3 linked regions of the Drosophila melanogaster genome follow. The gene in region 1 interacts genetically with each later gene. Each region holds a gene or a part of one and is shown in the gene's direction. Other genes may lie near its edges.

What was found.
Region 2: of AGO1 (region 1) and Pink1, changing one suppresses a phenotype caused by changing the other (phenotypic suppression), as found in Drosophila melanogaster (one study listed by BioGRID).
Region 3: of AGO1 (region 1) and gcm, changing one suppresses a phenotype caused by changing the other (phenotypic suppression), as found in Drosophila melanogaster (2 studies listed by BioGRID).

The regions. Positions count from the first base shown.
Region 1 is NT_033778.4:13,954,431-13,960,328, reverse strand, and holds the start of AGO1 (Argonaute-1), read left to right. Parts: upstream 1-2,239; 5' UTR 2,240-2,367; intron 2,368-2,978; 5' UTR 2,979-3,156; intron 3,157-4,648; exon of another isoform or gene 4,649-4,729; coding exon of another isoform or gene 4,730-4,912; exon of another isoform or gene 4,913-4,920; coding exon of another isoform or gene 4,921-5,114; intron 5,115-5,284; coding exon of another isoform or gene 5,285-5,412; intron 5,413-5,467; exon of another isoform or gene 5,468-5,479; 5' UTR 5,480-5,521; coding exon 5,522-5,642; exon of another isoform or gene 5,643-5,831; intron 5,832-5,883; coding exon of another isoform or gene 5,884-5,898. Other genes in the region: Rpn13 (regulatory particle non-ATPase 13), read left to right, coding at 241-761, 931-1,684; CG33155 (uncharacterized protein), read right to left, coding at 4,730-4,912; mRpL53 (mitochondrial ribosomal protein L53), read right to left, coding at 4,921-5,114, 5,285-5,412, 5,884-5,898.
Region 2 is NC_004354.4:6,682,124-6,687,802, forward strand, and holds Pink1 (PTEN-induced putative kinase 1), read left to right. Parts: upstream 1-1,717; 5' UTR 1,718-1,947; exon of another isoform or gene 1,948-2,004; 5' UTR 2,005-2,338; intron 2,339-2,394; 5' UTR 2,395-2,433; coding exon 2,434-2,598; intron 2,599-2,662; coding exon 2,663-3,448; intron 3,449-3,511; coding exon 3,512-4,525; intron 4,526-4,589; coding exon 4,590-4,790; 3' UTR 4,791-4,915; downstream 4,916-5,679. Other genes in the region: Fum2 (fumarase 2), read left to right, coding at 1-11, 96-299, 383-1,187, 1,248-1,507; CG44303 (uncharacterized protein), read right to left, coding at 4,916-5,179, 5,240-5,242; CG3184 (uncharacterized protein), read right to left, coding at 5,547-5,679.
Region 3 is NT_033779.5:9,578,998-9,583,484, reverse strand, and holds gcm (glial cells missing), read left to right. Parts: upstream 1-1,739; 5' UTR 1,740-1,892; coding exon 1,893-2,290; intron 2,291-2,365; coding exon 2,366-3,482; 3' UTR 3,483-3,920; coding exon of another isoform or gene 3,921-3,974; 3' UTR 3,975-3,987; downstream 3,988-4,487. Other genes in the region: CG31709 (uncharacterized protein), read left to right, coding at 3,921-3,974, 4,038-4,392, 4,454-4,487. UniProt on the Drosophila melanogaster protein: Transcription factor that induces gliogenesis. It determines the choice between glial and neuronal fates. Also has a role in the differentiation of the plasmatocyte/macrophage lineage of hemocytes.

The DNA.
Region 1 (5,898 bases):
CACTGCTGAGGTAAGAAGAAGACAAATTTTGCTCGTCATTGGGAATTGACGATTCACTGAATTTTTGATAAACTCAACAAAGTAAACGCATTATATATCCCGTAAGTAGTGCAGCGACTACTAATAACCCCAAACCGATCACGGCACCATAAAACACTTTCGAGTTATGCGCCAAAGAAAGTCGTAATTACAATACGTTCTTCATCCAATCTTCGCCAGCTCTCAAGAAGCACCCGCATCATGTTTGGAAGACAAAGTGGACTGGGTAGTTCCAGCAACAGCAGCAACCTGGTGGAGTTCCGCGCAGGTCGCATGAACATGGTGGGCAAGATGGTGCATCCGGATCCGCGCAAGGGCCTGGTCTACATGACCCAGAGTGACGATGGCCTGATGCACTTCTGCTGGAAGGATCGCACCTCCGGCAAGGTGGAGGACGATCTCATCGTCTTCCCCGATGACTTCGAGTACAAGCGCGTCGATCAGTGCAAGACGGGCCGTGTCTATGTGCTTAAGTTCAAGTCATCGACACGCCGCATGTTCTTCTGGATGCAGGAGCCCAAGACGGACAAGGACGACGAGCAGTGCCGCCGCATCAACGAGCTGCTGAACAACCCTCCATCCGCCCACCAGCGCGGCGGCGGCGGCAGCAACGACGGCGACCTCCAGTACATGCTCAACAACATGTCGCAGCAGCAGCTGATGCAGCTCTTCGGCGGCGTTGGCCAGATGGGTGGTCTCAGCTCGCTGCTGGGCCAAATGAAGTGAGCATTTAAACCCTTGCAGCCATAGTGTCCAAGAACTAGTCAAGTAGATAGCTTCTTAACTTACAGGGTATCGTTTTTATTGTTTATAAGCATGTAATCGAAGGAATGAAGCCAGAACTTGAGTTCACCCCCTTTTTCAATATTTTCCTTTCTATATTCTCCGCAGCTCCCGGACGCCCTCGTCGCGCAACACCTCCTCATCGGGTGGCGGTGGGGCATCGGCCTTGCAGACGCCCGAAAACGTCAGTGTGCCGCGCACTCCGAGCGCTCCATCGAAATCGGGCAGCAGCCGCAGCAGCAGCAATGTGAACTCGCAGGTCGGCGAAGGTGCCGGCTCCTCCGTTGATGCGGATGCCCCCGGTAAGAACTCAACCACATCGACCACAACGGCGTCAAAATCGACCGGAGCCTATGCCAATCCATTCCAAGCCTACTTATCCAATCTCTCCCCCGAACATGGCGCAGGACGATCCCTGAATATTGACCTATCGACGGCCCTACCCGGCGCCGATGCCATCAATCAGATAATTGCCGATCCGGAGCATGTCAAGACGCTGATCGTGCACCTGCCCGAGTCGGAGGATGTGGACGATGATCGCAAGCAGCAGATCAAGGACAATATCACCTCCCCGCAGTTCCAGCAGGCTCTGGCCCAGTTCTCCAGTGCCCTGCAATCGGCCCAGCTGGGACCTGTGATCAAGCAATTCGAGTTGTCCAACGAAGCAGTGGCCGCCGCCTTCTCTGGCAATCTAGAGGATTTTGTGCGTGCTCTGGAGAAGAGTCTGCCCCCCGGTGCCACCATGGGTGGCAAACCCTCCGCCAGCGAGAAGAAGGCCAGCGATCCCGAAACCCCAACTTCAGTGGCCCGCGATGAGAACACAGATCCCGCTACCGAAAAACAGGAGGAGAAGCAAAAGTAGCTTACGTGTGCGGCTTGGTAGTCATTGATATGGAATCCGAAAGCAAATTTTTTCATGTGCTGAGTGATTTTTGGATGCTAAATAAATTCAAATGGGAGTTAATCGGTAGTTATCTATCTAATTGTGTGTTTGATATACATCAAAACGGCTTATTAATTTATATTTAAAATATTACTACTTTAATAAAAGGATACGCGTTTTGGTAAGTACTCGTCCAGCTCTTTTCAGAATGCATCATTATACTCATTATACTTGGGTTTTTGGCTTACCTAATTTAATTTAAAAAAACAAAGTCTAACGTGTACAATTTATTTTAAATTTTGAAGTTAATAATGGGGGGATATATGGAAGTAACGGTAATATTAATCCCGACAAGGTCATTTTGTTGGTGTCCCCCTAACAAAAGCTCGCTGCCCCGCTCTCTCATCGCAACACACTGGTCGTCCCTTTCTGGCGCGAATTGCGCGCTCTCTCAGCGAGAGCCGTCTCACACAGATATATACACACACAGGCACACGCAACAATATTTATTTTATTCAATTCCAAAACGGCCAGCAAATAAGTTGTGTTTGTGCAAAACTCGCGCGTTCGCAATTTTCCGAAGCTGACTCTCAATTCTCATACATAACGATCTCAAGCGATCTCCGCCAGGCGAATCAAACCCGGATATATCCAGATCTGCAGTAATTGCCATATTTTTTCGCCAATTTTTGCGTTGCGGGCTGGATGTTTTTGTATCTGTTGTTGTTGGTGCTTTCATTTTGCAGCAATCTCTGTGCCTGTGTGTGTTTGTGTGTTGGTGCTTTTGGCGGACGTGAGAAGGTGTGTGTGTCTAGTGGCAGCCTGTATGTTTTTTTTTTGCATGACTGCTTCGCGGAGCTGTGGGGAAAGCTTTTCCCTCCAAAGTAGTTGTCATAAAAAAGTTAAAAGCCGCGGCAAAAACAAAAATCAAAGCAAACACAGAAAGCGCGAAGAGAGAGGGCAGTGAGACAGAGAGAGAGAGAGTCGAGTGCCTAACGCACACCGACAACCTTTGACTCACACGCACACACACGCGCGCTGTTAAACAGGCCTGGAAGCTTGCAAAAAATAAAACTAAATAAAATAGGAGCTGCTTAAGAGTGTGTGTTGTCAAATAGCAAAGTAAACAAAAAGCTCCCCGGACTCGCAATTTCATGCATATCTCCGGCGCAACGATCTGGCAACACTAACAACAACAGCAGCCGCACAAACTGCGTTTTAACCAATTCCATTTCCATTTCCTGCACTTATCTTTCTCGTTTCTTCCAATTAGCGCTGGAAAAGTAACGTCCGCAACGGTTTAAATCCAGTCGAGACGCAAACCCCACTCAACTCCTTAATGAGTTCCCCTCCATTAAACGGAATTCACCAAAAAAAACGATTGATTTGCCGCTGATAAAGCTGATAAAAGCGCACACACACACCAAAGTCAGCTGCAATTTTGCGATAAGGTAAGTACAAAATTATGAATCTTTCAATTTGCCGGCAAATGGAGGCTTCCAGAACAGCTGCAGGAGCTGCAAGTAAAATGGAAGTGCCCCAAAATAAAAAAAAAAAAAAAACAAAAATACAGGAAACCAAAACACTAATGGCGCCTGAGCATATGCTTTGGGAAATTTTCAAGAGCGCCAAGCGTGTGAGCGCGGGGGTGCGAGAGGGACGACCGTACAGACAGTGTTTATGTTTTGGTAGAAAGGTCACATCCTTAGCTTCCAATAGAACTTTCGTTCGTTAATATCCCCGCCATCCACGTCCCTCGCGAATTACGTCACGAATCGACGAAGAAGTTCGTGTCGACAGGTTTACATGCTCTTGAACTTTTAACAAACTAATAATACCCTTTTATACAGTTATTGCGATAGGATTATATGATCCAATCCTAAACCGATTAAAATCTTATCAAAACATTGGGGAGTTAAAATTTATATGAGTTACTAACTTATAACAAAAACCAGTAATTTAAAACCAATTTGTAAGGACTTATGCTATAATTAAACAAAGCTTTTTAACGTTTCTAGCGACATATTAAAAAAAGGTTTTATAAGTATAAAAAACTTATCGGTTTCAAAAACTTAAATTTGCTATGTTATTAATGCGCAAGCTCCAATTTGCAATCTTATGATCGAAGCTATAATACCTCGTTCGCAACTTCAAAATTTAAAAGTGGGTGGTGAAAGTTTTTACGACGTGACTCCTTCAAAACGGCTGGCGAACAGGCGGGGAGAAAGCTTGCAGCCTGACATTGAACTTGGGGGCACTCTGAACAGAATTCTATTAATCACAGGGTGCCGCAGCTTTTTGGGGCAACTTTCACCAACCATTTTTGCAGCTGCCACACTCCAACAGATTGTTGCCAGTTGCAGCCATCGATTTCGTCGCAAATACGTACATATTCACACATTTAGAGCGCGCCATTTCAAAACTTTAGCTCAAAGCTTGAACTGCACAGTGCACTTTCTTCCTTGCTCCCCCATTAGAATAAGACTTCAATTCATCTCAACAGCTGTCTTGGCAACAGAGAAGCTTTCTCCACTGCCTGTTGCATCCTTGTTGTCATTACAAGAATGCAGATGATCATTCACTTGGAGCAGTAACAAATTAATGCCACAATTCATGAACAAGTCTGTAGTGGTCCACCCCAGCCACGTCCACCGTCCACTTTGCATGGCCCATTTGGTCGACTTCCTGCGGTCCAATTACCATTGGCTCCTCCCGCCCCATTGTGATTATAAGCTTTGGGACGGCAGGCGGCTCTCCGATCCGCTGACATCAGCAAGCGCAGCAAACAGCAGCCGCTGCAGCAGCAGCAGGAGCAGATGATTTTCCGGTTTGCCAGGGACCGAAAAACTGGTTTCGAATGGCGAAAAAAAAATGAAACAAACGACAGGCTGACCGAATCGAATCGAGCGCTGCCCTTTTGCACAGTCGGGCCAAAAAGACAATACAGTGCGGAGTGTTTGTTACATGTTAGAGCGTATATATATTTTGAAAAGTACGTGTGCGGAATTGAACAATACAATTGGCTTAGAAATCGACGGGCTTGATGGTGATGAACCGGGAGAGAATGAAGGCCACCAGAATGGTGGCGCACACGAAACAGAAGGCGAACATGTAGAAGCTCTCCTCGGTGAAGATGTCGGAGAATGCGGGTATATCCTGGTAGATCTTCTCGATCACCGCCAGTGTTCCTTTGTGCTTCCTCACCATCCTGATGGTTACTTCTTCTTGGTTGCCTTCTTTCCGCCGCCGGCGCCTCCTGCTAGTTTCTGTTTCTCCGCCTTGGTCAGGACCTTGTTGGTGATCTCCTCGCGCGGTGCCAAGCTGGACACGTGCTTGTTGCACAGCTGCAGCAGCTCTAGTGTGTTTAGGTTATCGCTGTTGAAGCGGATCTCCTTGACTTGGGCTTGTTCTGTGAATGATATAATATCAATAAGTGTTTGCTCTTTGAATGTTGCAGTTTCAAAAGGGTTAACTTAGTTGCCCACGCTAAAAGGAAACCAATTTTTCAATACATATTTCATATGTATTTTGGTTCCTTTTAGTTAGATATTTCAGCTGTCCCAGTTTAGGTATTCTTACCTTGCGCTGAATCAATCAGGGCAAACTTGATGTTGGCCGGCTGGCGATCGCAGACGATTTCTGGCTTGACCACGCACTTGGGATTCGTAGCTGCCACTTTGGGTGTGGAGAGCAGGAAGAGGAATTCCCTGAAATTAGAATTGAAATAGATATCTAGATTATTGATTTATCATCACGATTTACTTGATTTTTCAGGAGCAGCGACGCCGCCTCAAACTGACGCCGACACCGACTAAAATGTCCACGGAGCGTGAGCTGGCTCCCGGTGGGCCAGCTCAGCTCCATCCGCACACGCTGCCGCTGACTTTTCCGGATCTCCAGATGACCTCCACCGTGGGCATCATTGGGAAAGTCTACGGTGAGTGTGGCACGCATTTATTTCATTCCCCAACCCCATCACCTTTTTAGCCCTCGAAGGATCGGTTTTTCTGGTGTGAATACTTCACTGCACCCTTTTTGGTTTTTCTCAGTTTCTTCTTAGTATGATTTTCTTTTTCCTTTCGGTTTCGTGAAAATTCTATCCAATTTGAGTGGTGAATAGGGGGTGTAGTGCGCATGTCCCGCTATCGATATCGGTGAAAAGCGCTTTTCCGACTCACCGTGTGGACTTGACA
Region 2 (5,679 bases), on another chromosome or scaffold:
AACGTATGCCGGTAGGCAACCAACCAACCAACCAACATATTCTGGCATCTACCAAGTGCTTTGCCATAGCCAATTAATCCCCAAACTGCCCGCAGATGCCGGTGATCCAGGCCATGGGCATACTGAAGAAGGCATGTGCCGAGGTCAACAAGGATTACGGACTAGATGGCAAGGTGTCGGATGCCGTATCCTGCGCCTGCGACGATGTCATTTCCGGCAAGCTATACAAACAGGGTCACTTCCCATTGGTCATCTGGCAAACCGGTTCGGGCACCCAGACCAATATGAACACCAACGAGGTAAGATTGTTAGATAGGGCTAACGAGAGAAATGTGTATAGCTGGATGCTTCTCCTGCCCCATGCCATTGGCAAACCTACTAGGTGATCAGCAATGCGGCCATTAAGATGATGGGCGGCGAACTGGGCAGCAAGAAGCCGGTGCATCCCAACGATCATGTGAACAAGTCGCAGAGCTCCAACGACACCTTCCCCACGGCCATTCACATTTCGGTGGGCATGGAGCTGAACGAGCGGCTTGTTCCGGCGGTTACACACTTGAGGGATGCCCTCAAGTCCAAGTCGGATGAGTTCAAGGACATCATCAAGATCGGACGCACCCACTTGATGGACGCAGTTCCGCTGACTTTGGGCCAGGAATTCAGCGGTTATACACAGCAGTTGACCAACGGTCTGGAAAGGATCAAGGGCTGTCTGCCGCGCGTCTATGAGCTGGCTCTGGGCGGCACTGCTGTGGGTACGGGTCTGAACACACGCAAGGGATTCGCCGAGAAGGTGGCCAAGCGCATTTCGGAGCTAACCTGCTTGCCCTTCGTGTCGGCGCCCAACAAGTTCGAGGCACTGGCTGCCCGCGATGCCATGGTGGAGGTGCATGGTGTGCTCAACACGATCGCCGTCAGCCTGATGAAGATCGCCAACGATATCCGATTGCTGGGATCGGGTCCGCGTTGCGGTCTGGGCGAACTAATGCTGCCGGAGAACGAGCCCGGTAGCTCCATCATGCCCGGCAAGGTGAATCCCACGCAATGCGAATCAATGACCATGCTGTGTGCCCAGGTGATGGGCAATCAGGTGGCGGTGACCATCGGCGGCTCCAACGGGCACTTCGAGCTAAATGTATTCAAACCCCTGGTCGTGTCCAATGTGCTGCGCTCCATTCGCTTGTTGGGTGAGTCGGAAATGTGTTTTCCAAGTGGAAAAACATGCATACATAACCTTCTCCTCCCAGCTGATGGCAGCATGACCTTCAGCAAGAACTGCGTGGAGGGACTGCAGGCCAACAAGGAGAGGATCGACAAGATCATGAACGAGTCCTTGATGCTGGTGACCGCGCTGAATCCGCACATTGGCTATGACAAGGCCGCCCTGATCGCCAAGACGGCGCACAAGAATAAGACGACCTTGAAGGAGGAGGCACTGAAGACCGGAATTACCGAAGAGCAGTTCAAGGAGTGGGTCAATCCCAAGGAGATGCTGGGACCGAAGTGATTCGCTGTGCGGCTATTGACGATTTTGTTTTAGTTTCGTGTAATAAATTTTTGTGTGTAGCAGGATATTTCAATAGATTGTATTAATTTGTTGATTTTACGGCAGGTGAATAACGGTTTTTAGTTTTTGAATTCTCCAAATGATTCGAGTCCACACTACGCGATAGTCATTATCGATTCTAAAGATATACCGTAAGTGTGGTCACACTAACGCCTTGCTGTTTCTAAATTATTCCGTTGTTTTTATCGTAAATTCTTGCACACTTAGCTATTATTTTATAGCGAAATATAAGCAAAGCAAGCTTTTAAACAAGTGTTTATTGCGGCGCACATTTTCCGTGACAAATGAAAAGATCCAGCTGACCAGCGATTATCTAACGACCAAATCGAATCGAAACGAAACGTTGAAGTAGGCGCATTACATTAAAAATTGGCTGCCAGGCAAGTTGGAGGTCGTAAATTAATCGTTTTGTTCAGTTGAAAATAGCCCAAAATCAGTCTAGCCCACACAGATATCGAAAAAGGCGATATATCTTTGGATAATCATTGCAAAAATAAACCCTTTCGATTCGACGATTTCGCCTTGTAGTTCTGCCACCACCGCCCCCACACTTCGCCCCGCAGCTGCACCACAACCACCACCACCCACAAACAGAAAATTTATTTGCGACGCAAAAACAAAACAATCGAATCGAAACGAACCGAACCGAAACGAAACGACAGCAGCTGTTTGGTTATAAATCGGCGCTATCGATCGCACACATGAGCAAAATTGGCGGAGAAGAAGAGGAAGCAGCAGCAAGAGTTAAGCACCACAAATCTTAAAGAATAGGTAAAAATTAAAAATTAAATTAATAGATGACAGACCGTTTAAGGTGCTTCATTCAGTTGCAGGCACTAGGAGCCGAGGTCTTTGCGGGCCGAAAGATGTCTGTGAGACTGCTGACCGTGCGACTGATCAAACATGGTCGCTACATTTTGCGCAGCTATTGTAAACGTGATATACACGCCAACATTTTGGACCAGAATCAATTGAAGACAAGAAGCAAGCGAGGCTTTCCCCTACCCTCCACCGCTGCCAATGTGCTGCGGGTAAGTCAAGCTAAACGGATGATCAAGGCATGTCCAATTAACCCGCATCCAATCTCTTCGCCAGACAACGCCCCAGCAGGCGGCCAAATCGGTGGTCAATGTAGTGCCCCGCACCATCAACTCCCCGTCGGGATCACCGTTTAATGGCAGCGGCAGTAGCCCCACCAGCAGCAGTGGAATCTTCCGAGTGGGCCAGCATGCGCGCAAATTGTTCATCGACAACATCCTCAGCCGGGTGACCACCACCTACTCGGAGGATCTGCGCCAGCGCGCTACCCGCAAGCTATTCTTTGGCGATTCAGCGCCCTTCTTCGCCCTGATTGGCGTTAGTCTGGCCTCCGGATCGGGTGTGCTCAGCAAGGAGGATGAACTGGAGGGCGTGTGCTGGGAGATTCGGGAGGCAGCTAGCCGGCTGCAGAACGCCTGGAATCACGACGAGATCTCCGATACGCTAGACAGCAAGTTCACCATCGATGACTTGGAAATCGGTCCGCCCATAGCCAAAGGTTGTGCCGCTGTCGTCTATGCAGCGGATTTCAAGAAAGATGTTGCCTCGGATGGTGCATCCCTGCATACCGATGCGCAGCCGCAGGCAACGCCAGCCTTTGCGCCGAATAGCTGGAGTACCCACGAGATGATGTCGCCGCTGCAGAACATGTCGCGCTTTGTTCACAACTTTGGCGGCTCTGTGGACAACGTCTTCCACTACAGCCAGCCATCTGCGGCCAGTGATTTCGTGGGCGCCCAGTCGAGGGAACAGGACCAGCGGCACCACGAGCAACAGCAGCATCAGAATCAGGAACAAGAGCAGCATCAGAACCAGGAGCCCAGCAGCAGTGCCTTCAATGTGGTAAATATGTAAGCTTAAATCTGCATGGCAACTTGCCATCACGCTCTTTGCTTTAACTTGCAGACTTCTCCAGCGAATTCAAACATCAACAGCTCTGTGGACAGTTATCCACTGGCACTCAAAATGATGTTCAACTACGACATCCAGAGCAACGCTCTGTCCATACTGCGTGCCATGTACAAGGAGACGGTACCGGCACGCCAGCGCGGCATGAATGAGGCCGCCGATGAGTGGGAACGTTTGCTGCAGAATCAAACTGTTCACCTGCCGCGGCATCCGAACATTGTCTGTATGTTTGGCTTCTTTTGCGACGAGGTGCGCAACTTTCCCGATGGCCATCTCCTGTATCCGGTGGCGCAGCCGCAACGCATCAATCCACAGGGCTATGGCCGCAATATGTCGCTGTATCTGCTGATGAAACGCTACGATCACAGTCTTCGCGGCCTGCTCGATAGCCAGGATCTGAGCACGCGCAATCGCATCCTGCTGCTGGCTCAAATGCTCGAGGCTGTCAACCATTTGAGCCGTCACGGCGTTGCCCATCGTGACCTAAAGTCTGATAATGTGCTAATCGAGCTGCAGGACGATGCGGCGCCGGTGCTAGTGCTCTCCGACTTTGGCTGTTGTCTGGCGGACAAGGTGCATGGCCTGCGCCTGCCGTACGTTTCGCACGACGTCGACAAGGGCGGCAATGCGGCGTTGATGGCGCCAGAGATCTTCAATACGATGCCCGGTCCGTTTGCCGTACTCAATTATGGCAAGGCCGATCTGTGGGCTTGCGGTGCCCTGGCTTACGAAATCTTTGGCAACCGCAATCCGTTCTATTCGAGCAGCGGTGGGATGGCGCGCGAACGCGGTGAGATGACGCTTTCGCTGAGGAACAGCGATTACCGACAGGACCAATTGCCGCCAATGAGCGATGCTTGCCCGCCGCTGCTGCAACAGCTGGTCTACAACATCCTCAATCCCAACCCGTCCAAGCGGGTCAGTCCGGATATTGCGGCAAATGTGGTGCAGCTGTTCCTCTGGGCCCCATCCAATTGGCTTAAGGCGGGCGGCATGCCCAACAGTCCGGAGGTGGGTCGCAGTGTTTGATACCACATCAGCATCCTTTTAAGCTAATTATGATTTTTTTTTACAGATCCTACAGTGGCTCCTTTCGCTGACCACTAAGATTATGTGCGAGGGTCGTCCACAGATGGGCGCCGGATTGATGCCAGTGGCCAGCTGTGGCAATAGGCGCGCCTATGTGGAGTACCTGCTCATATGCAGCTTTCTGGCACGCGCCCGGCTGCGTCGCATTCGCGGCGCCCTCAACTGGATCCAGAATGTGGTGGCGTAGGAGAAAAGCCTTCTACTTGTTACTCTGAGAAAATCAAATGGAAAAGCGTGTGATACCTATATTTTACATATGTATTTATAAATGAAATCAAAATTAACGCCAAAAGCACGCCTCCGGTACAATAATTATTGACCCTCCTGATCTTTCTGATTCTTCAGCTTCTGCATTTTCGCCACCAGCGCCTCCTGTTTGACCAAACTCCTGTCGAGCTTTTCCATCACCTGCCTGATCATAATTTGGAGTTCCGCAAGATGTTTCTCCCAGGCCACATTCTGCTCCTCCAGCTCGATAAGCTTATAGAGATTGGCCTCGTTTGAGTCTTCGATGTTGTCTATAGCCTGATCCAGGCTATCCTCGGCGTCCAACTTGTTTGGATTTTGTGGGGGATGCTGTGCGGAGTAGAATGAGGAGTTTATAAAGTTAGCAGGATCTCTACGTTTAGTACTTACCATAACTAAACAGTTCAAGTTCATTCACTTCTCTGAATTCGCAAACTTCGAATGAAAATGCGCTGACAGAACTTACGATAACCGCACCAGGGCTGAGCCGATTGCATGCGTTATCGATATCGCCTGCCAGGGATGTTGGCAGTTTAAAATTAGTTTTGGAAAACTTAGGATATCCCAAATGCCATGAACAATTCTGTTTTTTCCGCAAACTATTATACAAACTATAGATAGTTGAAAAACATAAGCCAGCAAATGTTTATTTTTCTTTTAGTTTTTAGTCACATAACATAATATACAGATATCGAATTCATTTGTTAATATCCACGCGACTCACACACAACGTGTGATCATAAAAGGAGCAAGTGGCCATGGTCAAGGACGCATCGTCCTTGTTTCTCCATGGTGCCCAATCGGCCCCGTAGCAGATGCTCTTATGCTCC
Region 3 (4,487 bases), on another chromosome or scaffold:
ATATGCCAGGGGCGTAACTTCCCACGACACCGCCGACGGATAGGGTAGATGCCGAATTTACGATGACATTTATGCGTAATTTTTGGTCGAATTTTATAGCCGCAATTGGACTGAGTTTCATTGGGAAAGAAAAGAGTTCTGTTCTCCACTGGCCCCCGCAGAGAAAGTGTCAAATAAATTTGATTGCCAAGTGATGTCTCGTAATTGAAACGGAACAGTTAATTCCGGGCATCATTAAGGCGACACACCCACCTTGAGTGCGGGAATCTGGGACCAGGTAGGATGTGCTTCCCCAGCACAGCCTCATAATATGCCACGTCATGACTTTCTTCTGTGTCAACGCCCCTCGAGTCCCGGTCGGAGCACCCTTTCCCATTGTCCGCCGTAATCCTTTGAGTTCCTATCGCGTGCTACGATCCTGATCTTTGGGCGACTCCTTGGCAGAAAGGCGCCGCGGGTTGCTCGCTCAGTTCGTGTCATAATTGCATGGCATTTGGTCTGTCGTGGAAGTGTGAAAATTATGGAGTTTCCTCACCCTTTCGTCATCTTAATGATTATGTTTGTTTCGTTTATCTCTGACTTGAGATCGCCAAGGGGCCCAAGGAATTTGTTTGGCAAACTTTGCTTCATTCATATGCGTGAGTTATGGCATTTGCCTTTGGGTTTGTAGGGGAGGTTTTCCAATATGGGATTTCTTCTTTTTGATTTCCGTTTTTTTGCGTGCTAAATTGTGTTTTACGATTATGAGATCCCTGATTTCATCTTGAAGATATCGGCAGGAGCTCGACATTTCGGTTTCTTTTTTTGCAAACGTTTATTTCTTTATCGATTTTGAGATCGTGAGAAGTAGTTCCGTTAGCTATACCGTTGCCTTACCAAATTCTATAATAGTGACTATATATAGTGGTAATATTTCTATATTTCTGTGAGTCATTTCCATTAAAATTTACGTTTGATTTTGAAATTTTTTTACAGAATAATTTCTACCTCTGAAGTTAAGTAGATTTAGCAGCTTTAATGTCCGCATTAAAAAAGTCTTAAAGCCTTGAACTAAATTACTTTCCGTGCTTCGTTGGAACCATCTCCATTTTGTTCGTAACTCTGCTTGCCCTCCAACCATTTCACTTTGCTCCCCATTTCGACATCCACATCCAGTTCGAAAGTAAATAGGCCCGACCACTGGCATCTGCCAGTGACTGTCGCCAGGTGTACCCATCAGAACCCATGCCATACAGCACATCCCCATCCACACACAGCCCCATCCCCATCTCCATTTCCATTACTGATGTTGTAAACTTTTTTTCTGAACTTAATTAGCTTTGACTGGGGTTGGGGCCGTGTTCTTTGCCATCGAGTGCCTCAAACCCCTGGTTCTCATATCGTACAATTACCCAGTGGAGCGCGTGCTGCAACCGCAGGTGCTAGAGCAGCACAGCACTCGTCTCCCTGCCCAGTTGCCAGTTCCCAGCTCCCAGCTCCCTGTGCTCAAGCTCTCCCAGCTCCCAGTTCCCTATAGAACGAATTCTCCATCTCCAGCTGCTGCTACCACTACTACCAATCAAACCTGCTCGGGAACTCTCCTAATTTCCCAAACTGGAGTGCCGGATAAGGCGGATAAGCCGCACACAAGCGCACCCGAACTGGAAGTCAGCATGGACCAATGGGCGTACCGCTTTGCGACCGAGCAACCCTCGTGCGATTCGACCGCTGGCAACTTAACTGTGCTGCGCAGAGCGGGCCCAGTTAGTCAGCCTTGCGCAGTCGATGCGAACGGACGCGTCGCTCCAGAGAAAAGTTGAGAAGAAGTACACAGTAGTAATAGACTATTGAGAAGGAAAACTATAGTGACCGCGTGTGAACTTGAAACTAACGATTACATAGACACATCAAAAATGGTTTTGAACGGCATGCCTATAACAATGCCAGTACCGATGCCAGTGCCCATGCCTGTGCCCAGTCCTCCGGCCACCAAGTCCCGGGTGGCGATCGACTGGGACATCAACGATTCCAAGATGCCGTCGGTGGGGGAGTTTGACGATTTCAATGACTGGTCCAACGGACATTGCCGGCTCATCTACTCCGTGCAGAGTGATGAGGCCAGGAAACATGCCAGCGGTTGGGCCATGCGAAACACCAACAACCACAACGTGAATATCCTAAAGAAGAGCTGCCTGGGAGTGCTCCTCTGCAGTGCCAAGTGCAAGTTGCCCAATGGAGCCAGTGTGCATCTGAGACCCGCCATTTGCGACAAGGCCAGAAGGAAGCAGCAGGGCAAACAGTGTCCCAATAGGTGGGTTTTTGACTAAACACAAAATCCAAGAATTGTCAAAACTAACTCGGTATTTTTATTTTTTTTTCTTGACAGAAATTGCAATGGTCGCTTGGAAATCCAGGCTTGCCGCGGCCACTGCGGCTATCCAGTGACCCACTTCTGGCGCAGGGACGGAAATGGAATCTATTTCCAGGCCAAGGGCACCCACGATCACCCCAGACCCGAAGCCAAGGGATCCACGGAAGCCAGGCGACTTTTGGCAGGAGGAAGACGTGTGCGAAGTTTGGCCGTAATGTTGGCCAGGGAATCGGCGCTGAGCGACAAGCTGAGTAGCCTGAGACCCACAAAACGGCAGGCCAAGACTCAGTCCATCCAGGAGAGCAAGCGCAGAAGGATGGGTGCTTCCGATGTGCTCGAAACCAAGCAGGAGTTAGTGGTGCCACCCACCACCTACCTGCCCACATCGACGCCCACACATAGCACCAACTTTAATCAATCTCAGGGTTCATATGTCCCAGCAGGACAAGGATCAGTGATCAGTCAGTGGAATAGAGAGATTCACTACGAAACGGAGGATCCATGCTATGCCAATGGAATGTACTCCTACGATATGCTCCACTCACCTCTCTCAGCGCATAGCTCCACGGGCAGTTATTACCAGGAGAACAAACCGCAGCAACTGCAGCACTCACAATACCAGCAGCAACTCTCACCGCAGCAACATGTACCAGTCAGCTATGATCCCAGCCAGCCAATCTCCTCCAGCCTTCAGTGCGGAATGCCTTCGTATGAAATATGCGACGATACGTCCAGTTTGACCAGCAGCTCGGGCTACTGTTCCGAGGATTATGGCTACTACAATGGATATCTACCCAACTCGCTGGACGTGAGCAATGGAAGCCAAAGCCAGAATCTTAGCCAGGATGCAAGTTTCTACACAACCAGCTCGGAGATCTTCAGTGTGTTTGAGTCAACTCTGAATGGCGGAGGGACCAGTGGCGTGGATCTCATCTACGACGAAGCAACCGCCTATCAGCAACATCAGCAACAGGGAACTTTTCCGCATCTCACCAATTATCAACAGGAGCCGCAGGATCAGATGCAGTCCGCCGACTACTACTACAGCAATACGGGAGTGGACAACTCGTGGAACATTCAAATGGACGCGACATATCACCCAGTCAACAGCACGGATCCCATCTATTGCTAGGGGATCGGGATAAGATCTCTCATCGCAACTACTATTACTGAGCCACTCAAGCGTTGTTCTAGTCCCTAGTTGATTGATTTCCATTCATGTTCCCATTGCTTGTTGGTCGTGTATTATTATATATTGAACGTTTCTAGTTTGTACTTTTGTACTTGTTTCCCAGCTATTCCAAAGTTTTAGAGCACGTAAGAGTAATAGTATTCTTAAGCACATAGAGTTTTAAGTCACATTTCCCACCTATTTATGAACTTTTTTGTAGTAATAAACATTTTTGAAAGAAAAACTTAATCGAAGCAGCCTTTTTTTGAGAATTGACACGTGTCAAGCAAGGGAGCTCGTAATCATTGTCAGTATAACATTACCAGCGGCAGGATATACAACTAGGGATTTTCCTCAACAACAAGTTTAAATTCGTTAGTCAACCAAAATCGTGTAACAATGGGTGCTTGTCGCCCTAGAAAATGTAGTGCAAATAACCGAACTATGGCAATTGTGAGTACTAAATAAAGGCCTAAACAAATAACAATGAATAAAACCAAATTTTGTATTGAGAAGCGTCGCCGTAGAGCTCTAGTTAACTTGCTATTTTTGCGCCGTCATTTGATTGGACAGGCACTTGGAATTACGAATCGGGAAACTCCAGACCTTAGGGTAAAATCGCGGCGACGCAATCGTAGAAGGAGAATGCAATTCAGAGTCCGTACACCAAGTGATAATGCAATGCGCTCAGTAAGGCATCATGGACAGAATCCAATCAGCCCAGGATCACGGCTACAACGAAATAATCCACTTTGGGGACACGCCGACATTATAACCACAGATAGAGCGTTGGAAGCTTTAAATGGACTTACTACAGGGAACAGGGAACCAAATGCATTGTCAGTAATGGTGCGATATACCAATGGGCGGTGTAAGTTGAGCTGTACTTATTGCTAATACAATGAAGTGCATAATTAATACTCTCTTATTAGATTATTTAAGCTTAGAGCCAAGTGGAAATCAGCA